Linked DNA regions of Diceros bicornis minor. The protein of the gene in region 1 binds, or shares a complex with, the protein of each later gene. Links are inferred from orthologs where the notes say so. Each region holds a gene or a part of one and is shown in the gene's direction. Other genes may lie near its edges.

Region 1 (7,081 bases):
CCTCGGGGTATTACCTCTAGGTCAGATATCACTGTAAACAAGCCACTAAAGACCATTAAAAGAATACAATTAGTTATGTTGTAGAGTTCACAAACATCCATCTACAGAACGATTTGAAAAACAAAGTCTCTGTTTTAAAGTTAACGACTGCAACACAGGAATTCAAAGGGACTGAATCTTGAACAATTTAGGTGGAACTGAAGATCACATGCTCAGGATACCTAATTCTTTACAATTAAACAGTGACCCCCTCATTTCTGCCTCATTGCCTACAGACTAACATCCCACCACCAACAAATGGCCTAATGTGGCTTAGTAATGAGTTCCTAACTACCCCTCCATTTCTGCACTGCCCACAACACACACTTCATGGACCAGCCCCTTAAGCTACTTTTGGATCCTTATTGTGCTATGCTCTTTCCACCAAGAACCTGTAATGCTTTCCCCCTACAATACTCTTTTGGAAAAGCCTATTCTTTCCTCATTGTACAGATTAAGCCCCTGGGGTTACATGCAGATTTTTCAGGGAGTATCCGAAGGCAAGCGAGTTCTCAAAGAATCAATTTCTGGATACTCAACTTCCATATATATGCATTTCTAAAATTGATCTGTGGCTGAGGCTCTCTTTTCCCCTTTCTCTTCATCACTGCCTTTCTTCCAGTTTTCAAAAGAAAGGCATTTCCATACCCCAATCTTACACCTTGCATTCACCCAAGGTATGAAAACTTCTGAGACCCCAACTAAGAGATAACTGGATAATTCCTTTAATAAAGGGATTATAAACACCCAATTTCATCTCTTTAAAAGATATACTTCCAATAAAATTTTACTTTGCTTAATAATTATTTATCAAAATTAGTAACCTAAGTTGCTTTTATCAATTGCATACTAATAATTGTAATAATTTAATCCAGAAGAAACTTTTTAACACTTGGAGCCTTACGATCACAGAAAATTTCAATTTGGAGCCTTATAATTACAGAAAATTTCAATTTAAATACATTTTTTTACACAGAGGAGTATGATAGAGTGATCAATAAAATAACTTTTCAAGGTAATTTAAAATCAAATTACCTTAGGATAAATTCTATGGGAGAAATAAAGTGGTATAAATTCACGGGGAAAAAGCAAGTATGTACAATATCTAGCAAAGAGTTTGTTTATATTTAAAAAAAATGATTCATGTGATTATCAAATCACTATAGTATTTATATTCTATTAGATACATTTTAAAGAATGATGTAGCATTTTTATTTTAAAATGCCAATATTCACAATATGGCCAGAAATAATATCCTTTGCATCTGTTTAAACTTATGATAAAAACTTTTAAAAGCCAATTTAAAAATACACAGAAGAGTAATCAGATTTCCATTTTAGAAAGATCATTGGCAGCAATATGGAGAATAACCTGGAGAAAAAGAAACTAAGAGGCCATTTGGGAGACTTGTTATAATCCAGACAAGAAGGTATTAGGCCCCAACTTAGGGAAATAGAATGGTAAGCATAGAACAGATCCAAGATACGATGAAGAGGCAAAATCAGTGGGAACAGAGAGGAGGATGGATTCAAAAGATTTTAATGGAACTTTCTGAATGTGTATCTTGAGGAAAATGGAGGAATTTTGATTGACTCTCGGGTTTCTGGCTGGGGAAACTAGTTTAAAATAATGGGACCACTTCCTAAAGTAGGTAACATAGCAGGTTTGGGGGAAAAGTGAGTTCGGTTTTGGGTACGTGAGTTTGAAATGCTTGTGGGACTGACCATCTGGGTGAAGATACTCATCCAGCTTTTATAGGAATGGACATAAAGTATAGGGAAGGCAAGGTTGCAGGTAGCAGTGGAAGAAGCCCTGGTTACGGCTATGATCATCCGTGGGAGTAGGTAGAAGAGAAAAGGGGCCTAGGGGCCGGCCCCGTGGCTTGGTGGTTAAGTGCGCGCTCCGATGCTGGCGGCCCAGGTTCGGATCCCGGGCGCGCAACGAGGCACCACTTCTCCGTCCATCCTGAGGCTGAGTCCCACATACAGCAACTGGAAGGATGTGCAGCTATGACATACGACTATCTACTGGGGCTTTGGGGGAAAAAATAAATAAATAAAATCTTAAAAAAAAAAAAAAAAGAAAAGGGGCCTAGGATGGAACACCAACACCAAAGGGGAAAGGAGAAGAAAGTCCTACAAAGTTCAGTGCATAATTTATAAGAATGAAAGAATTTCAGTGCCTAGTTCATAACAATGAATGAGTTTTTGTAAAGGAACGAGAGAGGGGAAGAAGTAGACAGACAGATTGGAGAATTAGGAGAAAATCTGTCACAAAACAGAAGCTAAATAGTTTGCCCTGGGTCACACAGTAAGGAGTGGAGCTGGAATTAAAACTTAGGCAGTTTAACTCCAAAGACAGAGCTCTTAACCACCGTACATGGCACTGCCACTCATGACACAGAGGATAGACAAGTTACTCAAGCAAGGTCCCAGGAGAGACAGAAAGAGGGACATTTAGAATATAATTTAAAAGGTTATCTAAGAGGGAAGCAGGTAAGGAAAGCATAAAGTTTTAGACTGGGGGCAGGAAGGTGAGGGACTACTCCTCAGTCTCCTCAATATCCTTTCCCTAGACCTATGGCTTAAACATAAAAAGTTCCCTTCTCAGATTCTTTTCTTTATGTTTTCCACATGGTTTCAAGGGGAAAGAAGACCTAGTCCATCTTTAAATGAATGAGATTTCATTTCTATCCATGCTGGCCTGTGTAGTAACTCCCTTACCAGAAACTTAAAACGTTTCAGGTTGATGACACCCAAACCTAAGCTTAAAACTCCTATTGCCAATGCTTTAACCTAAGGAACCTCAAGAACTGTAGAGAATAAGTTAGATTTCTACATACTAACAAGGAAATATTTCCAAGTTATACCATTAAAGTGAAAAACAAAACAAAACCATTTTGATCCCATTTCTGTAAATAACGATACATATTACCTTTGGCATTGAAAAACATTTGGTATAATACACTCCAGTCTATTAACAGTGGTCCTCTCTGGGGGATGTGGTTATGGGTATTTTCCACTCTTTAATTTCCAATTTTTATGCCCATGTAGTAAACAGGGGGAAAAAATTTTGACCATGCTAGAAGCTTGTGTTCTCTGCTTGACTGAGTTCCTTAGCAGCGAGCGGATCCTATTCACTGCTGTATATAGCAAATAGTAGGGCTCACTAAGATTCTACGACAAAGGAATGAATTAATCAATGAGTACGAGTCTTGACGATCTCACATGGCTGTTGAGAGAACCACAAACCTACAAAAACGCATGCGTTTTCCAGTTAATGTGCAACACAGATCTACGCCGTAAAGGAGGCCAGTTAGTTCAACTTCCCTCCCTCCGTCAGCCTACATTACGATTAAAAAAATCCCGATTACGATTAAAAGTGTCCCTAGGGCATATAAGTGCAGCTTTCGTCAGTAGTTCTCGCTAACACGAACTCATTCTGGCCGTGGGAGAACGGCCACCGGGGCTGGGAAACAGAAGCGGAATCGGCCTTGGTCCGAGGTGTTGTTTCGGGGGAGGCGAATCCCGCCAGCAACAAGCAGCAGTTATGGCCGTTACTCACCATTTTTCGGGACGCCAAACTGGGGCTGGCGGAGCACCGAATTGAAGAGCATCTGGGCCGGAAGAGCAGGCTCAAGTGAGGGAAAAGCCGTGGAGATGCCCCCAGGTTCGGCAGAAAGCGTAGCTTGCGCTGCTCACAACACGATTAGTTATTGCCTCCAACTCCCGCCACTGTAAGCCCCGGCCACCAAACTCCCCGCCAAACTGACGTCACGCCCTCTGATTGGCTCCCGCCGCGGCGTCCGGGCGCCTCCAAGTCACTTCCCCCTTCGAATCCCCGCCTTCTTTTCTCCCAGCCGCGGGAACCTAGAGTTCACGAGCTCCCTGAGCGCCTGCGCAGGGGGCCGCAGAGGAGGTGGCGAACGGCAGGGTGACCAGGGCGCATGCGTAACACGGCTTGACAGAGCGCGGAGGAAAAATCCGCGAGAAGGTGGTGGAAGAAGATGGCGGTGCTGGGGCAGAGTTTGCAATCTCTCTGAATAGACTAGTCGAGTAACTAGTCGGGTCATGGCGTCAAACTCAACTAAGTCTTTCTTGGCAGATGCCGGCTATGGCGAACAGGAGCTGGATGCTAACTCTGCCCTTATGGAATTAGACAAAGGTATTCGAAAGAGCGGGCTGAGCGGGTGAAACGGGCGTGGGGGAAGTGGCGCCACCAGGCGGTGGTAGCCTCGGGAGAGGCCGGGAAGGCGCATGCGCATAGCCTCCCTGGGCGGGGCCGGCTGCCTGTGCTTTTGGTGAGTCCAGCGCTTTTGCTGCTTCAGGAGATAGCAGGAGAGTTGCGGCGTTGCTGGGTTGGCCTTGCACCAGCTGAACAAGTAGCGAGCTCCAGTGGTGGGCCCGTTTTGACCGCCTGAGGGCACAGTTCCCCGATTTTCCAAGCAGTTTCTAAAAATCCTAAATTGAAACTGTGAAATTATTTTTCAGTACGTTCAGTTGAGACCAACTCGTAACCAAGAGTGCTAAATAATAATCTTGCACTGATAACAGCGATTCATTTGATTTCTGTACCTCTGTTACCTGCTGGTTACTAGGCGGATTAAATACGGCCAAGACCCTCGGAAAAGCATAGCCCCTGCTCCTCCTCTGCAGACAAATTTCACGAGTTCTGTTTCCTTACGGGGGCGGGGCGGGGGTGGTGCTGGAGGGCAGCTTGGTGTGGTTGAAGAAGCTTTGGAGTTAGACTGAGTTGAATTCCAGTTCTGCTAATTTTATGGTCTTGGGCAGGTTACTTAACTTCACTTAACCTCAGTTTTTTGTCTGCAAAGTGGGTACAGTATCATTGAGCTGACCAGATTGTTGTAAATATTAAGTGATATAATGATACGCAAAAGAAGCCTTTATTAAGTCTAAAGAGATATGCCTTCTTTCTAGGATATGGATATGGGAAGCAAGGGCAGATATTTGTCAGTAAAGAACTCAAGTATTAAAATGAAGCCTTTGTTTCAGTGTACTTCAGTGGTTTTTATTGAACGCGGGAAGCATTTTGTCACCTGGTATACAGTTAATTCTTGATTAACCATAGCCGGTGTATAATGTATTGAGAACTGGATTAGGGGTTAGAAGGATCTTTCTTTAAGTCCACTTTGAGCAACTCCCCAGCTCTCTGACTTGGACGTTCTAGTAACTTTTTTGGGACTCTGTTTTTTGGATTTGTTGGTTTGTTTTTTAACCTGTAAACATATCTAGTGGGTTGGTCTAGATAAAGGTTTCTCAGACTTTTTTTTTTTTTTTTTTTGTGAGGAGATCAGCCCTGAGCTAACATCCGCCAATCCTCCTCTTTTTTTGCTGAGGAAGACGGCCCTGGGCTAACATCCGTGCCCATCTTCCTCCACTTTATATGGGACGCCGCCACAGCATGGCTTACCAAGCAGTGCGTCTGTGCGCGCCCGGGATCCGAACCAGCGAACCCCGGGCCGCCGCAGCGGAGCGCGCGCACCCAACCGCTTGCGCCACTGGCCCGGCCCCTCTCAGACTTTTTAAAAAGCTTTTAACTCCTTTTGATCAACATGAAAGTGTCACAACACTCCAGTGATATAATCGTTTGGTTGAATCACAGTATCTTTAGCGCATCCCCATCCGCCAAGAAAATGATGTTGAGCTTTGCTTTCTCTTGCCAAAGCTATAGGATTTTTTCCCTCTGAAATATAAAATTGTGACTTTAAATGTGTTTTTTTAACACTTCGTAATCTTTTCCTTCCCATTCTGATAATTCCTTCCTTATTCCCCAGTGAGAGTTGCAGGTCCTGATATGTAATATCCTTACCAATTCTAAGACATTTTCTACCACCTTGGTGGGCTCGTCTCATAATGACAGTAAAACAGTGCTTGTAGAACAGAGATCACAATGGGACTCCGTATTAGAAATCTAGAATTGTTTAATTCCTAAACATTTGCAATTATGGTAAGAAAAAAATACATCACAATTTTTCATTCTTAAAAGTTGAAATAGATATATTTCAGATCTATAAGAAATAAATGGATGGCTATTGAGCGTTTAACTGTAAACCAGGTGTCAGTCCTAGATACTAAGGAAGTGATATATTGTTCAGTCTTCTCAGCAATGCCCTGGTGAGTATTTTTCAGATGAGTCTCAGAAGGATAGATTGGACACGACGAGAGCAAAACTTTTGTTCTTTTTCACCTCAGCATGCTATACCTTTTAAATCTGTTAAGAGATTAGATTATAGAAATAGCCAGTTTCATTAGAATATAGTTTAGTATTTTAAATATTGAGTCATTTCATCCTTTAGCTGTTAAAGTATTTCTGTTTTGTGAGCCAAAGTTCAGAGGGTCAGAAGGCTACAGATTCCAGCTTTCTTTTAGTTCCAAAACTTATAGACCAGTTTCAGAAAGTGCACCCCAAGAAATACTATTTCTGAAGTATTTTAATAGGAGTTTCTTCCTCCGTATCCTCTCGCCCTTTTCTTCTCTCTCTCCCTCCCTCTCCTGACAACATACAGACACTCAGACACTCACACTCACATACATCACTTATTTGATCAGGCTTTGTGCTAGGGAAACAGCAATGAAACAAAACAAAGCCGCTCCCCTTATTGAGTTTATATTCTGGACAGAGAAAACAGACAATAAACAAATATAGTAAGCATGTATTGTGACAGATAGTGATACATATTATAAAGAAAACAGAAACAAGTGAAGGGAGCTGGAGAAAACTGGGTATGGGGTTGGAATTGGTTTGTTAATTTTATATAGGATAGTCAGGAAAGGCCTCACTGATCAAATAAAGGAACAGCAAATGCAAAGAAAGGCCTTGAGATAGGAGCCTGCTTTGCTTGCTGTACCTTGAGCAGAGTGATTGACAATGAAGGTAGAAAGATAATCAGAGGCCAGTTCCTGTAGGGCAATGCAAGCCGTTGAAGAGACTGACTTGAATTCTGAATGAAATGGGAAACCATGGAGGGTTTTCAGCAGAGATGTGACATGATCTGACTTACCTTTGAGAAGGATCAGTCTGG
Region 2 (7,772 bases), on another chromosome or scaffold:
ATTGCAGTTACATTGCAACAACAATTTCACCAAAGTAAAAATCATCAGAAACTATGTTTTTCTAAGCAATTGTGCTGGTCTCAGTAATCCTTGATAAAAACCTCAGTTCTAAAAGTGGGGCTATTCACAACTAGAAGGATGTGCAACTATGACGTACAGCTATCTACTGGGGCTTTGGGGAAAAAAAAAGGAGGAGGATTGGCAATAGATGTTAGCTCAGAGCTGGTCTTCCTCAGCAAAAAGAGGAGGATTAGCACGGATGTTAGCTCAGGGCTGATCTTCCTCACAAAAAAAAAAAAAAAAAAAAGAACTAGTCTTAAAAAAATAAAAAATAAATAAAAGTGAGGCTATTCGACAGTTCTCAGCACTGGATTAAGTTCTTTCCTGATTCCCTTTATTGGATCCTCCCTGGACCTCTCAGTGACCTGTGGCTCAGTGCTTTGCCCTATTCTCAATCTACACTCACTCCTTGGATTACTGGCTTTCAAACTTCTGCTCATGCCTCATAATAAGAAATAAATTTTACAATGCAACTCATTATACACTGAATAAAACTGAAACAAAAGAATCACAAAGGAATATCCTACTACATGAATTTATCTGATACTTTTTACTTTGTGCTTCTTTCTTCTTCTTACTTTTTACTGCTGGTTAGTACTCACTAGATTGATTTGATGACCCGTTAAAGGGCCACAACTCACCATTTAACAGCACTGTTCTAGCTGATCTCCAATGCCGTGGGTTTAAATGTCACCCACGACTCCTCTGGTCATCTCAGCTACACCCTTTCCCCTGAGCTTCAGGACACCTATGTCCTACGTGACATCTCCACTTGGGCATTTTTCTAAACCTGTTCCTCTTCCCTGAGTGGTCACGTAAAATGGCAACGCCCTTCACCCAGATTCTCGGGCCTGCAGCTCTGAAGTCTCACTCAACTCCTTTTTCTCTCTCATAATCTACTATTTCTACCTTTGAGATATATGCGAAATCCAACTTCTTAGCACCTCTACCACTATCACCTTAATTCAGGTCATCATCAGCTCTTATAAAGACTACTGCAAAAGCCTATTAACTATTTTCCTCCACCCTCCACACAACAGTCCATTATCCAACAATGGTCACAGTGCTCCTTTAAAAACATAAACCAGGGGCTGGCCCAGTGGCGCAGGGGTTAAGCTCGTGGACTCCACTTCAGTGGCCCGGGATTCGTGGGTTCAGATCCTGGGCGCGGACCTAGACACCAGTCATCAATCCATGCCATGGCAGCGGTCCCATATACAAAATAGAGGAAGACTGGCACAGATGTTAGCTCAGGGACGATCTTCCTCACACATACCAAAAATAAAAAATAAAAATAAATAAAAACACAAATCAGATCACATCCTCTGCTCACAACCATTCAATTGCTTCCAAGCACACTTAGAATAAAATCCAAATTTCCTATCACGGCCTATGGGGCCTGATGTGCTCCTCGCTATCCTTCTTTTCTGACCTGATCTCCCACCCCTCCTCCCTCTTGCTCACCCCTCTCCCAGCCAGTTCTCTGTGCTGTTCTTGGAGGATGCCAGGAACACTTCCACTTGAGAATTTTTGTGCTTGCTGTTCCCTCTGCCTGCAAGATATTCACATGGCTTGCTCCTTTACTTCACTGCGGTCTGTGAATATTAACTTAGAGCAGCCTCTCCTGACAACCTGAATTGAAAGAGCACTCCCATCACCCCCTTGCCCCTTATCTTGCTTTCTTTTACTTTATAGCACTTACCACCTGACATTATATCTCCAATGCTTAACAGGACTCGAATTTTCATTCAAGGAATGAATAATGAAAGTACATAAATGAGTAACAGTAATCACTGTAATGAGAATACCACTGAGAACTTTGTCTTGGTACAACACGAGCCTCATTCTTCTTGACACCACTCTCTCTTCCAAATGAATAAATCTACTCTAAGAGCCAACTACGTATAAATTAAACGAAGAAACAAGACCACCTCTGTGAGCTGAACTGGAAAAGTATACCTAGAATCCACCCAAACACGTAAGTAAAGCAAGCATAGATGTTTTTATGTGTATTGATATTCAGACAAGAGAACTGGGAACCAAACTAGATTCTACACACTTACTTAGCAAGTAGAATATTTATACACCAAGAAACACAAAGTAATGGATAGGAGCCTATACTCTGGAGCTCACTAATGGTCCAAGTCCTGGTTCTGATATTTAGTAGCAATATAAAACTTTTCTGTCTTAGCTATGTCATTTATAAAATGGAGACAATAATAACAGTATTTACCATATAGTGTGTCATGAGAAGTGAACAATGCCTACCATATAGTGTGTCATGAGAAGTGAACAATGCCTACCACGTTAGCAAGACCCGAAACAAATACTAGCTAACATTTTTCATTTATAATCTATTCCAAAAATTGACACTATTAAAAAACACAAATTTTGATGGGCAAGCCTCAAATTATGTTTATATTTCCAAACTTCTCAGGAAAGGTAAGAGATTCATGTTGAATTGAAAAGGTTTCCCTACAAATATTGAAAAAATCTGTTTGTTACTGAGGCTGAAAGCCAGGGAGTCACAAAATAGTAGAATATAAATATGATACACTAAGTCCACATGCATATTAACTGCTTATATTGTACAAAGTAGTTCAATACTTTACAAGTATGAAAAAAATTACAAACTCATTTTTCTTAAAGATTAAAATGTAAATTTAAACTTATTTAAATTCCCTACTACATCAAATGTTCAACACTGTAAATAGTAGAACTTAGCTTGTGTTTTATACATTTCACAAAATAACACTATTTGGTTGCAAGTCTCATCCTATTTTCTTACAATAACATAGATTTTTAAAAAAAAATGCTTCCCCTAGAGTTAGACAGCAGCTAATTACCTTAGATATTAAAGATTAAAAAAGGAAAGAAAAAACTGAGCTGTTTCAGTGTTCATTACATTATATAATATGGGGATACACATATAGTTAAGTCCTAGAGGACAAAATCCTATGATTAAAATGAGCTGTTTTCTTATCTGGGCAAGAAGTGGAAAAAAAAAAAAGTTTAAAAGTAAAAAAGCTTACAGTAACCTTAGCCATAAGGCAAGTGTGCCATCTTCTCTCTGGAGAATCAGGGAATCCTCTGTTGCCATGGAATCATGATGCTTGCAGCTCAGCCTGACCTCATAATTGACAGGGAGCCACAGCAGGACATGCTACTGCCAGCAACACCAGCTAGCTGAAATAGGAGTACTGAAGCCCACGGCAAACAACAGCTTGTGAGGATCTCAATGGTTTAATCCCACATTCCAAGTACTAATGGTAACTGAATTCAGTAGGCTACTCTGACTACGTGAAGGTAAAAACAACACATGCTAAGGAACTGTGCAGACCACAGATGTTTTAATTGGCCTCAGAATTTGTTAAGTTTCAGGGTCTGCTAAACTGTTGCTGTTAGGCCAACTGGATACTCTGTATTTATTCTTATGTCAAGTCACAGGCGATACAAAAGCTACAAAGTAAACACAGGTTTTTAAAAAAAGCAACCTTGATGGGTCCACTGCTACTGAAGTTCAAGTTTGAGCTCTGCTTAAAGCATTTAAGCAGGCAAGCGGAGTAGAAGTGTAAAAAGAACAGAAGAACTGATAAACCAATTCTTAAATCTGATTTTTTTTCACCGACTTATTGTTGAAGTTAGACTTCTTAAAATGATGCCTTCAGATGTAACTCAAACATAATTTCAAATAATGAGTATGCTTGAGACAATTCCCTCAGTAGTGTATACTCCCTACCAGGGGTTAAAAAAAAACCTCACATAGCTTAGTATTTCATTTATTAAATATGACAGCAAATCGCTCAGCTGCATTTATAACAAAATTATTTTCACCATCTTAAATAACCGTGATTACATGTTTAAAATAGTCACATCTCTAGTTCTTGGCAGCGTTTGCATCTCCCCCCTTAAACACAGTTTCTATAGAAAAGCTTAGAAAAGCAGAAGTACTCGGCTTCTTTATCAATAATTCAGCGCCAGACCTCTTCTCAGGTGCCGGCATGTCCCCGACAGTCGGGAACTCCGGGCGGGGAACGGGACCCCGCCATCAACAAAAGGGCAGTCCCTACCCCACGCGGACAGGCTGGGCGGGAAGCACCTGAGTCAGCGACGGCTGAGAAGCCCGAGCAGCGTCCACGCAAGCTCAACTCAAACCAGCTCCGCGCAGAGCCTGAGGCCGTCGGGCGGGCACGGAGCCTCGGGGCGGGGGGCGCGGCGACCCCCGAGCCGCCCGCCCCGTCGGCAGAGGCCCCGGACCGCGCGCCCGCCGCAGAGGGGGAGGAGACCGCACGCCCGACCGCCGCAGACGCCCGCGGCCCGGCGCCCTCCTTACCGGTCGCAGCGGCGTGGCGCGAAGGGGCCTCCGACGCCCCCTCGGGTCTCGGCCCCCAGGCCGCTCGCCGCCGGCCAGGCCACGGGAGACACGCCGGGCCACACGGGAGCCGGCGCGCCGGCCGTCATTCATACGCAGCGGACCGGAAGCAGAGGGCGGCGTCACTTCCGCCGTCGCGCACCCAAAGCGCTCCCCCTCGGCCGGCCGTGGGAACCTCGGTCCGCCCGCTGTGGGGCGGCGGGGCGGGCCCGGGTCGGCAGGGGCCGCGGGGAGCGCGGGCGGCGGCGGGGCGGTGAGTGAGGGGCTCGCGGCTCCGGGACCGGCCGCCGTCCGAGGCCCGCGCTCCCGGAAGGAGCCCTCGCGGGCGGGAGGGCGCGTGGCCGGGCTGGGGGCCCGGGCTCTCGAGGCGGAGGGCCGGGCGCGGGGCCGGTGCGCTCCTGCGTCCCGGGCGCGGGCGGCGGGGCCCGCGTGCACGCCCGGCTCGGGCTCGGAGCCGCCGGGCCCCCGGCGCCGAGTTCCCGCAGCCGGCGCTCCGAGGGCGGGCGGGCCGCGGGGCCGGAAGAGGGGCCGCGCGGAGGCGGCGCCGTCTGCGCTGCTCTGGCTTCCGCTCCCTTGAGGCCGCGCTAACGGAGCGGCGGGCGGGGACGGCTGGAGTCTGCCCGCGTGTGCTTGCGGGGCGGCGGGGAAGCCGCCGGCGCTGTGCGGCACGAGGGCCGCCGTCCTCGGGCCGCGTCGGAGCGCTGGCCGAAAGCGGGAGAGGGACGCCTCCCTTAAGGCACTCAGGCGTCGCCGTGAGAAACCCCGTGCAAAGCAGGGGCTGGGGTGGGGTCGGGGGAGCTCCTCCGAGGGGGCGCGCGTCGGCGCGGGCTCGCGGGAGGGCGCGGACGCCAGCGCTCCCCAAACGGAGAAGCGGGTGGAAGGGGCAGGGCCGGCTAGCGGCTCTGCTGCCCGCAGGGTCTGGGGACGGAGAGTTCAAGCTTCTGCGCCTGCTAGCAGGTCTTCTGAATGCGGGGTCGGGACGGTGGGTTGCAGGGCGGGCCCGAGGCCCGCTGGTTCGGGGTCCCCGCGCTCCGCGGGTGCGGGTGCCGGCGCGGCGTCCCCGCACGGTGGAGGGGGGTGGCCCGGGCGTCGGCGCGGGGCCGGTCTTCCTCACACACACACACACACACACACACACACGTTGGGTTTTGCGTTGAAGGCATTGGGAAGCCTTAATTTTTGAGGAAGAAAATGAAAAAGAAGTGCGTTTCAGGAACATTAACGTGGCAGCAGTGTTGAGGTCAAGGAGGATAACTCGATTATTGCTGTAGTACACAAAAGCTAGTAAAGACCTGAGTTTGAGTCTAGCGGTGAAGTGAGAAGCAGAGGCACCCGTGGCAGATGTTGTGGAGTCCGCGCCCCGGGAAAGGCCTGCTGCGGGTTTGTGTGTGAGGAGTGGGGCGACTCCGTGAGGGACAGATCTAGGCCTCAGACCTGCTTAACAGACTTGTCATTCGTTAAAGCAAGTGCCCGACAAGGAGATAGGGGGAGACTCTCATAATCTCAATGTTAATCGTACCTGAACTTGAGATGGCTTTAGGACAACCAAGTAGGCTATCTACTAAGCAGGTGGGAATGCGGGATTCGCGCTTGAGAGAGACTGGAGTGCGGACAGACTTGAAGTCCTTCCCTAGAGGTGGTGGTTGAAAATGTGCATCCGTTAGATTGCCAAGGAAGAAGCTGGTAGCAGAACTAAAGGAGACAGACACGGACAGATACGTAGGCAGTGCCAAGAATCGGAGAGACGATGAGCCAGAGGAACAGGAGGAAAGCGGAGTCAGCGTAATAGAACCCCAGGAGGAGGAGGCTTTTTGGAAGAGGACGTGGGTAATGTGTATTCAGCTGGCCAGCATTTACTGAGTCCCTGCTGCCTCCCGGGCACTCTGCTGGACACACACACACCGTGGTCGGTGAGACCAGCCCCGTGCTGGCCCTCACAGAATTGTGTTCTGGTGAGAAAGACAGGCACACAGTGTGCTAACTATTATGAATAAGGACCAGATATTTGGGGACCATGTAACAGTTAAACTTTGTATTTTGTCAGGGGAATGTGCAGAAGATGAGACTTGAAGGATGAACACGATGGGTTATGGGACACTCTCTACTGAAGTGCTGGTGTGAGAAAGAGTGTGATATGTCGAAGGACTTGAAGTGACTCGTGTGGCCTCAGCAGAGAAGTGGGGATGGCCTGAGGTACTGGGTGACGTTTAGTGCGTGTGTACTCTGTGCCGGGTACTGTCGTCACTGCTGTACGTGTGTTACCAGACGATGTAGGCGTCAGAGACGGTGTTCAGAGTCTTATTCTTCACCTTTGGACAGTGAGGAGTGAAGAGTGTTCTAAGCGGGAGAGTGATATGAGGAGATTTGGAGGGAACAGGGTGGTTGTGGGGAGCCTGGTGAAGCTATTACAGTGGCCAGAGGATAGGTGGATGATGGTAGCTCTGTCTAGGGTGGGGATAGTAGTAAGGATTGAAAGGGTAGGTGAATTTGAGATATATTTAAGAAATCTGGTGATTGAATGGGGTGGTGAGGAAGTGGGAGGAGTTAAAGCTGGCTGGAGGGAGGGGGTAAGTATCACTTGAGAAAGGGTGTCCTAGAGGAGGAACTCGTTGGGAGACGAGAGGAGCTTGTGAGGCTCTGTTAGGGCCGTGTTCAGAGGAGGCACCCACCTCAGTGAGGTATCCAAGTCAGGCTGGCAGTCAGGTCTTGGAAGAGAGGCATGGGCTGGAGAGAGAAATTTATAATCACTGGCAAAAGGGTGTAGATCATATTGTCTAGAGCGGTAATTCTCAACCTTTAGAGTGGACCAGAATCACCGGGAAGGTTTGATGTGGATTTCTGGGCCCCACTCCCAGAGTGTTTCCTTCAGTAGGTCTGGCAGTGGAGACCACGAGTTTGCATTTCTAACAGGTTCCCAGGTAGTGCGTCTGATGCTGATCCAGAGGACGCATTTTGAGAAGGTGTAGAGTGAGGCAGGAGGAGACTCAGAGCCTGACCCTGAGGAACTCATTTTTGTTTAAGTGGAATAGGAGGAACCTGCAAAGAAGGCTAAAAAAGAAGTAGGAGGAGAAAATAGTATTTATTACATTTACCACTGGGCTGTGAATACTCTGGTGAGAGCATTTTCATGGAATGATGGGACAAAGGAAATGCGGCATAAGTAGAAGGAATGAAGAAAGAGTATAAAATGTAGATGACTTTCTGAGGAAGTTTTGCTATAAAACAAAAAAGACAGGATGGAGGAATCTTAAATATATTTAAATGTCAACGAAATGATGCTCGATGAAAAGATAGCAGTAGAAAGAAAGAGGCTGGGGGCTGGGGATGGAGAAGATGTAGT
Region 3 (8,081 bases), on another chromosome or scaffold:
ATTGTCATAGTTTAATTAGCAGCATTTTTTCCCTTTCAGTGGTCCAAAAATAACGGCATTTCTTAGAACCCGTGGTGTCTCAGAATTGATGAAATATGGTATGTTACCTCGCATTTTCAAAACAATCCTCTAAGACAGGTCTTAGTATATCATGCCCGGGGGCTGCTGACTTATCATAATACTAGTGTATTCTCACTATCTGTTTATCTGTCTTCTGCCTTTCCACTAGATTATAAACTGTCTATGGCCTACCATAGTGCCTGTTACATAGTAGGTATGCAATTAATATTAATTGAAAGAATTACTGCAATGTTCATATTCTTTTACTAGAGAAAATGTTCCACTATAATTCTAATTCTCAATTTGGATATGTCCATTTTCAGGACTGATCTTGAATCTTCTGAGACTTCAGCTATTTCTGTGAAATACTGTTCGTTGGAAAGGTCTAATTTATCTTTTTTTTCCCCCCAAAGCCCCAGTAGACAGTTGTATGCCATAGTTGCACATCCTTCTAGTTGCTGTATGTGGGACACGGCCTCAGCATGGCCGGAGAAGTGGTGCATTGGTGTGCGCCCGGGATCCGAACCCGGGCCGCCAGTAGTGGAGCGCGAGCACTTAACCGCTAAGCCACGGGGCCAGCCCTGATTTCTTTATAATAGTGGTCTCTAGCAGCATTTTTTTCTGAGGATTGACACTATTTAATATTAGGATGACCAAAATTAAATTTCCTTATATATGTACTATCTGAATACATTCTGCTGCATAATTTCACATCTAACTTTTTATGCTTATTGCTTCATGTTTTTTTGATGTTCTCAACCTCAACATCATTGACTATTGTGATCTCAAAGAGTAAAGCAGAGAGCTGGGAAAATGGTAAGACAGTCAAAAGAAACTTTGTTAGGTTACACATGAGGGAACACTAGGTTGATCTGACTATTCTGTTCAGATAGCGCATGCAGAGACCATAAGCCAAGTCATTGGCACATAATCATTTTTAAACCGTGTTGCCCTGCTTAATTGGTTTAAAATAATTTAAAAGGGCTCTGGTTGGCTCCTACAAATGAATCTAATTCATCAGTTCTTAATTCTGTTAGAATAGCTCCATTTCAACAATTTAGCCTATTGTTTAAGCCAGAGTCACCATTCTTTCAGAAGGTTTCCTATAATTTATTCCTTCCCTTTTAAATTGGGGGCATAGCATTTGGGCAGCATTTTTTTAAAAACAGCAGCAAAGAGCAAGTTTTCCCCCACATACCTCTTCTGATCATTGCCCTCCCAGGAGAATCTTTCCTAAGCCACTAGACTGCAACAGGACAGGGTTAGCCCACAATACTCCTACTACGTCTCCCTCGAGCACTGCAGGAGCTCAGTTTCTTCAGCTGAGTCTGATGAAATAGTTGGCTTGCAAGTTTTAGAAAAATAAGCCTGAATATAACCAGAATCTTTCTAGAATCACATTCTGGAATCACAGAGATTGAGTGAAGAAGAGATTCATGTTTCACATCTTATGCTTACTCCAAGGCCTAAGCTCACTGACGGGAACAGTGGGAATCTCTGGCACTGTTTACTTCTTTTTATTTTTTGGTCAAGAATTTAAGCAATTTAAATACGCTTATGAATCAAATCTACTGTTATCTATATTGCTGTCACATTTATAGTTTTTTTTTTCCTTTAATTTGCAGATTTGTTTTAGGAGTTCTTTTAAGAAATGTAATAACTCTAAGAGGGTGTGAATTTTTAAAGTTATTTAGTGAGTACTATTAGATGCTAGGCACATACATTATTCTTATACTTTAAGCATATAGTTCTTAATGATTATTTATAAGATTCACTTGAAGAGCTTTTTAAAGCATGAGATGACCAGGGCCCATCCCAATTCTACCGAATCACTTTCCTCCAGGTATGGGGATTTGGTATATTTATTACTATTTTTAAGTTCTGTGGGTAATATTGATGTGCATCTCCTGGCCCAGAACTACTGCTTTAAGCTATCATCAAACCAACAGCTTAACTGTCAACCAGAGTCACTAAGAATAACCTTGGCCTATTTCACAATTCTGTCTAGGGACCACTCATCAATGCTTCCTGGTTTCTGATTGCCTCTTGATTTGCCCCCTGTGTACATCCTGATTTCTTTCCTGTTCTGCCTCGGGGCTTTGGCTTCCAGCACTTCTGGGCTTCTGAACTGGAAACCTGGCCTTTGATCTTAGGTGGTTATATGCTCTAGGTTGGCTCATTGGACTTGGCTCTCCTGATCTCTGCATCTAATCCTGGCTCTACCAGACCCTAGTATGACAATCTGCCAATTCCCCTGAGTCAGGGAAGAAAAAGCCATGATGGCTCCATTGGAAATGATTTCAAATAACTGTAATAGGTAAGGTCATTGTTAATGCATGCTCACCTACTTCAGTAGTCTAGTTTGATTTCCTTTAAACACTACTTTGTACTCAGCGCCTCAACTAAAACTCTAGTTTATATGGAAAAATATCCTTAACCTGGAATAAAAGCCCTGTACTATCTAGACTTGACCTACTTTCTGGATCTTATACTATTCTTTGTGTACCAGGTGCGCCAGCCCAGCTGAACTTCCCTGTACCCCAGGAAGCATTGGCAATGCTGTGCTTTCATTCTTCACTACATTTTCAATGTCTAGGACTTTTTCATGAGCAACTTCCTCTTTCTTTACCCACATATTCAAATCCTACCAATCCTTTAAAGCAGTGTTTCTCAAATCTGAATAATGTAAAAGAAATTCTTATGATTTTAGAGATTACATTTTCCGACAGGCATAGGTCCATAGAACACAATTTGAAAAGCACTGATACAGAAAACTGAAGACCAATTATATGAAAATTTCTTTCAGATGTGAATTATCACTTTGAAAGAAAAATTTTGTCCTTATAACTGGTAAAGTGATTTGTATATTGTCATTAAAATGAAAACAAAAATTTTAGAGTATCAAAGAACTGATTCTTATCTCTAGGTCTAGGATCTCAGTTTGAGAAACACTGCTTTAACGCACCGCTTAAACACACTGACCCTGGAAACTTGTTCTTTCGTCACCCCAGGGTAATAAATTTTTCTCTTTTCTAAATTATTTACTATCTGATCACTTTCTGCCTTGTAGTAGCTAATAATTGACGTGTAATATTTTTCTAGAAAAACCATAAGCTCTTTGAAGGCAGGGACCATATTTTCATAATTTTTTAACTCCACCAGTCCTCAGCAAATATTGGATGTAAGACCTGTAGTTCATCTTATTTCTAGTCCAAATCTCTTAAAAACATCTCCTTCTTCTATGGTACATACAAAACAGCATATTACTGAAATAGCCCTACTATAAATTAACAAAAACTTCATAGGTTGTCTTAAATATTAGTAAAAGTCCAAGTTATGAAACTCCAGATTTTAAAAAAGTGCCACAAACCATGTCTCTTCTGTGTTAACGTCAAAAGGACCAATTTCTTTAAATGATCGGTAGGCAAATAACTAAAAATTTCAGGATAAAGAATATAAAAATCGAAATGCAAGGCTAGTAGAAGAGGTCCTATAAAAATCTACCTGGTCTTATAAGGGTTGTATGTCCTTAATTCAACTTGCATTTCAGGCAGTCTTCAGTCTTTCAAAGAGTATATTTGAGGAAACCGTTTTCTCTGACATTTAGGAGAGAGGATTCATTACCCCAGGCATGATGATAGGGGCTTGCTTCAATAACCGAGAACGTTTTCCCTCATACAGTATTTGGAACGACTCCGAGAGACACCATACAGTGAAAGGAAAGTGCACCGGCACGGTTATGGGGAACACTCTGTGTTACCTGGGCAAACTGAAGTCAGTTTTTTCATTTTAAAATAAGAGTAATGGATTATGACTGGCTTAGGTCCCTTTTAGCTCTGAAATTGATATTCTATGGCCCTAGGTAAACATGGCTTGAGAAAGGTATTCCTTTGGGTAACACCGGTTAATTTTCCCTGAGAATAACAAGGGTACAAACTGTTTATCGATATTTGAGGCTTCCCCCAGACTCTTTTAGGGCTGTTAGGAAGGGGGTTTGTACCCTTTTTGGAGGGTCCTCCAACGAGGGGGGCTTCTGCCCTGCTCCAGCTCCAGCCCTTACCCTTGGTCGCTCCCCCAGGGCCAAGCAAGACTGCGGGCGAGGTACGCCTCTGGTCCCCACTCCCCAGCGGGAGCGGTGTGACTCTCGGAGATTAGTCCCTGGTTATAAACAACCTCTCACTTCCCCTCCCCCGCCCCGGGCCCGCCCGCACTGGGGCCGGCCCTCCGAGGCCCAAGGAAACTCCTCCCGATGCCGTGGGCTCGCAGCCCTTCCCGGGAGGGCGACCGCGGCCCTGCCCCCTTCTCCTAACTGGGTGTTTGATCACGTCACTCATCCCCTTCTCAGTCGCCCACCGGGGAAAGGGTTCGCTTCAGCGACGTCGGAAGGAGAGCTGAGGCCAGCCTCCATTTCCCTTCCGCCGACCCCTATCACCTCCAACAGCCAAGGCGAGGGCGGCCGCCTTGACGCGCAGACTCACAGCCGCGGCCACCCTGCGCGCGCCGACGCGGCCCCCGCCCCCACCCCGCGGTGCTTCCGCGGTCCGTCCCCGCCCCTTCCCGGAGCCCGCCTCCGTGTCTCCCGGCCCGCCTGCTAGCCCCTCGCGCTCCCTCTCGCGCGCACCCGACGCCCCGCCTCCGCGCGTGCTCAATAACTGTTCCCGGAGCCGGCCCACAAGCTTCCCCCGCCCCTGAGCTGTTTGAATATGCTAATAAGAGGCTGGGGACTGCCCAATAGAATAGCGGGGCGGTACGTCACATGGCTCAAGGACGTGTCAGGGGGCGGAGCCTCTGCAGCCCCTGCCCGAGTTAAAACCGGAGTGTGAGAGAGAAAAGCGCTTCAGTAGCGAGAGGGGCTGAGAAAGTGGTGACACCGCCGGGGTGCGGAGGGAGTCCCTGAAACTTCTCCCAACAGCCCCAGGGCCAATCTCCCCTCAGCCCACTCCCCTCTTCGCCAGCTCCCAGGTCCCCACTCCCTGCACCGGGGGTGGGGTGGGGAGCCAGGCCCGTCTCCCGCTGGGACACACACAGGGGCCGGGAGCGGGGACGGGACCCCCGAGGCGGGGGGGACGGACCGACAGACAGACGGCCGGGCGCCCGCCCCAGCGGGCAGGCAGGCAGGAGGAGGCGGAGGCGGGGGTACGACGGGGAGGACTGGGTCTGGGGAGTTTCCTCTCAACTATCGGGGGAGAAACTCCCCGCAGCCGGAGGAAAGACCCAGACGGTGTTTTCCTCCCGGGGGCCGCGCTCCCCCGCCCCGCGTAGCGGCGGTCGCCGCCGCCGCCACCGGCGCCTCCACCTCTACCATCTCCTCTTGCTCCACCACCTCGGGCCCCGGTGTCCCCGGCCAGCACTATGCCCATCTTACTGTTCCTGATAGACACGTCTGCCTCTATGAACCAGCGCAGCCATCTGGGCACCACCTACCTGGACACGGCCAAAGGCGCGGTAGAGACCTTCATGAAGGTACCGACTGACCGAGCCCGGGCGGCGACCCCGGCCCGGCAGCCGCGGGCGGCAGGGGTGGGGGGAGGGAGGCCGGGGGCGGCGAGGCGGAGGTGTCGGGGACCTGACTGCGGGAGCCGCCGGGCTCGGGGACCCCCTCCCCCACCGCGCGGGCGGGCGGGCGGGCGCTGCGAGCCGGGCTCGGCCCGGGCCCGGGCTCCGGCCCCGGGCGGTGTGTGGGGGCCGATCTGTGTGCGGGGGGCGGCGCGGAGGGGTGGCCGCTGCGTGTGCGGTACTGTGGGGGGCGGTGGGGCCGCTGGGCGCCCCTTCTCCGCCTCGTAACCTCGCCTCTCTGCTTCCCTCTCGCCCGCCCTGTTCCTCCTCCCGTCCCCCACCCGCTCTCCCGCAGCTCCGTGCCCGGGACCCTGCCAGCCGAGGAGACAGGTATATGCTGGTCACTTTCGAAGAGCCGCCCTATGCTATCAAGGTAACAGCCCTCGCCCTCCCCCTTCCTTCCCTTGCCTGTTCCTTCCTCGCTCGCCCTCCCCGCCCCCCCATTCACCCTTCATTATGCTCCCCTCCCCCACCCGCTGTGCTCCAGGCGCTGAGGTCTTTTCCCCTGCGGGCGCCCACTCCCTCCCCTCGCTCCGGAGCGTCCTGGCGCGGCGCAGAGTCGCCGGGCCACCGCCGTCCCCTCCCCAGCCCGACCCGGCGGCGGCGGCGGTGGCGGCGGCGGCGGCGCTGCGATCAACATGGCCGACATTTCCCCTCCGCGGCGTGAGCGGCAGCAATGAACTGTGGGGGATATTTATTCAAGTTAGCCCGAGTGACAGCCGGGCCCGGCCGCGCCGAGCCCCGGTTTGCATTAAAGGGGCATCGGCCCGAGGCTTGGCCGCGCTCGCCAGGCTGGCGGGCCGGCGAGCGGGGTGGGGGGCTGCGCGGCTTGGTCTTCGGATTCGTGCTGAGAGGGCCGCGGGGCCGGTGGGACAGCTGTAGGTTAACTTCCGAAGTCCTGCTCACTTCTGCTTTCCACTAGTACCTTTGCATCCCCAGATTTTGGGTATTAGGTTAGGGAGTGAATTTCCCAGGGAAGCTCTAAAGTGTTAAGGTTGTTCGCTACCAGAAACTGTAGAGCCAGCAGGTTTATTCTTGGCCACTTTTGGAAGAGAGTTCCCTCAGCAGCGATCCGGTATTGACACGTTAACCAAACCATACTGTAAAGTGAAGCAGCTACCTGGTGAACGGCAGATTGTAACGCCTGTCCTTGTACACAGGACTCTAAAAGATGAAAAAAAAATTCTTACATTTTTCTTTTCAGGCCGGATGGAAAGAAAACCATGCAACGTTTATGAATGAACTGAAAAACCTTCAGGCTGAAGGACTTACGACTCTTGGCCAATCCCTAAGGACAGCTTTTGATTTATTAAATTTAAATAGATTAGTAACTGGCATAGACAACTATGGGCAGGTAGGTTGAATATTAAGGTGGAAAAACAGTTGATTTTTCTTTTTGTGGAAAAACACAGTCCGGCCCCAAAACTATATAACATGAAATACAAGTATAACACGTTTCAGATTAAAACAGAATGTGCACATAATGCAAAAGTGAAACCCTGACCATGCTATATGTGGTTTTATAGCCCTCATGTTTTAAAAATGTATTTGTATTCAGAATTAGAATCTGGATTCTTTGATATAAAGTTGACATGAATTTGGTTTTAATCCCTTCAAGTTCACTCAGGACGTAAAAGGGAAAACATCCTACCTCACCACACTCAGTTTCTCTGATACTCTACCCACAGGCAATTGTGCAACTATTGCAGTGACTTGCATACACTAGTTGATTAGTGGTCTTCATTTCTATATTAGTATAAAATAGAGAAATGTTAGAAGAAATTATTCTATTTGTTGTGTCAGGGTTTAATTTAACCATATTGTATAACTACTCAGAGGTGAGAAATTTTCACTGGAGTGCAATAACTGGTTGAGTACATTAAGATTTCTCAGCTTTTGAAGCATATACAGTAAGCAACTATACAGGAAGAATTCTTAATTCATTCCTGAATTAAATGGCAGGTCCAGAGTGCAGTACTTGCTTTCATTTATTATGAGACAAGGGCTTTGAATCACATGATGGTTCACTATAGAATAATGCAAGGTGGTCCATTAAAACTTTTTTTGAGATTACTGACCTGGAAAATAAAAGATACTGAAGAATGCGTATTGTTAACACAAAACAAAGGAATATTAAACCCAAGGAGTTCAGTTTTTATGTTGTACAAAGCACTATTACCACAATGATACATTTAGGTATACATTTTGTTCTTTTCCCAAGTTGCACGAGGCACAATTTTCATGACTTTCACAAGTTTCAGGGAAATTCTTCCCATGACTACAACTTTTGGTTGCTTTATATGGACAGAAACAGAATTGTTCCCTTGTTTTAGAAATGTTTAAACGTTTTACTTCTTAGGGGTAACAGTTCAGCACCTAAACATCTTTGGAAATGGTTGAGTATAGTCCTATAGCGTTTAAAGTATATGTTGCAATTCAGTCACTTTGTTTCTATTTTTACCAAA

What was found. Proteins that work in one complex are often made in the same cells at the same time.
Region 2: INTS7 (region 1) and INTS12 share a complex: the UniProt entries of both Homo sapiens proteins name them as parts of the integrator complex. The link is inferred for Diceros bicornis minor from reciprocal best matches to the Homo sapiens genes INTS7 and INTS12.
Region 3: INTS7 (region 1) and INTS6 share a complex: the UniProt entries of both Homo sapiens proteins name them as parts of the integrator complex. The link is inferred for Diceros bicornis minor from reciprocal best matches to the Homo sapiens genes INTS7 and INTS6.

What each region holds. Positions count from the first base shown.
Region 1 is NC_080743.1:77,746,359-77,753,439, reverse strand, and holds the start of INTS7 (integrator complex subunit 7), read left to right. Parts: upstream 1-3,962; 5' UTR 3,963-4,109; coding exon 4,110-4,203; intron 4,204-7,081. Other genes in the region: DTL (denticleless protein homolog), read right to left, coding at 3,604-3,655. UniProt on the Homo sapiens protein: Component of the integrator complex, a multiprotein complex that terminates RNA polymerase II (Pol II) transcription in the promoter-proximal region of genes.
Region 2 is NC_080750.1:1,890,581-1,898,352, reverse strand, and holds the start of INTS12 (integrator complex subunit 12), read left to right. Parts: upstream 1-4,607; 5' UTR 4,608-4,685; exon of another isoform or gene 4,686-4,698; intron 4,699-5,142; exon of another isoform or gene 5,143-5,215; intron 5,216-5,563; exon of another isoform or gene 5,564-6,384; intron 6,385-6,402; exon of another isoform or gene 6,403-6,583; intron 6,584-6,606; exon of another isoform or gene 6,607-6,625; intron 6,626-7,772. Other genes in the region: GSTCD (glutathione S-transferase C-terminal domain-containing protein), read right to left, coding at 4,394-4,525. UniProt on the Homo sapiens protein: Component of the integrator complex, a multiprotein complex that terminates RNA polymerase II (Pol II) transcription in the promoter-proximal region of genes.
Region 3 is NC_080748.1:25,856,002-25,864,082, forward strand, and holds the start of INTS6 (integrator complex subunit 6), read left to right. Parts: upstream 1-4,916; 5' UTR 4,917-5,412; coding exon 5,413-5,523; intron 5,524-5,911; coding exon 5,912-5,989; intron 5,990-6,820; coding exon 6,821-6,970; intron 6,971-8,081. UniProt on the Homo sapiens protein: Component of the integrator complex, a multiprotein complex that terminates RNA polymerase II (Pol II) transcription in the promoter-proximal region of genes.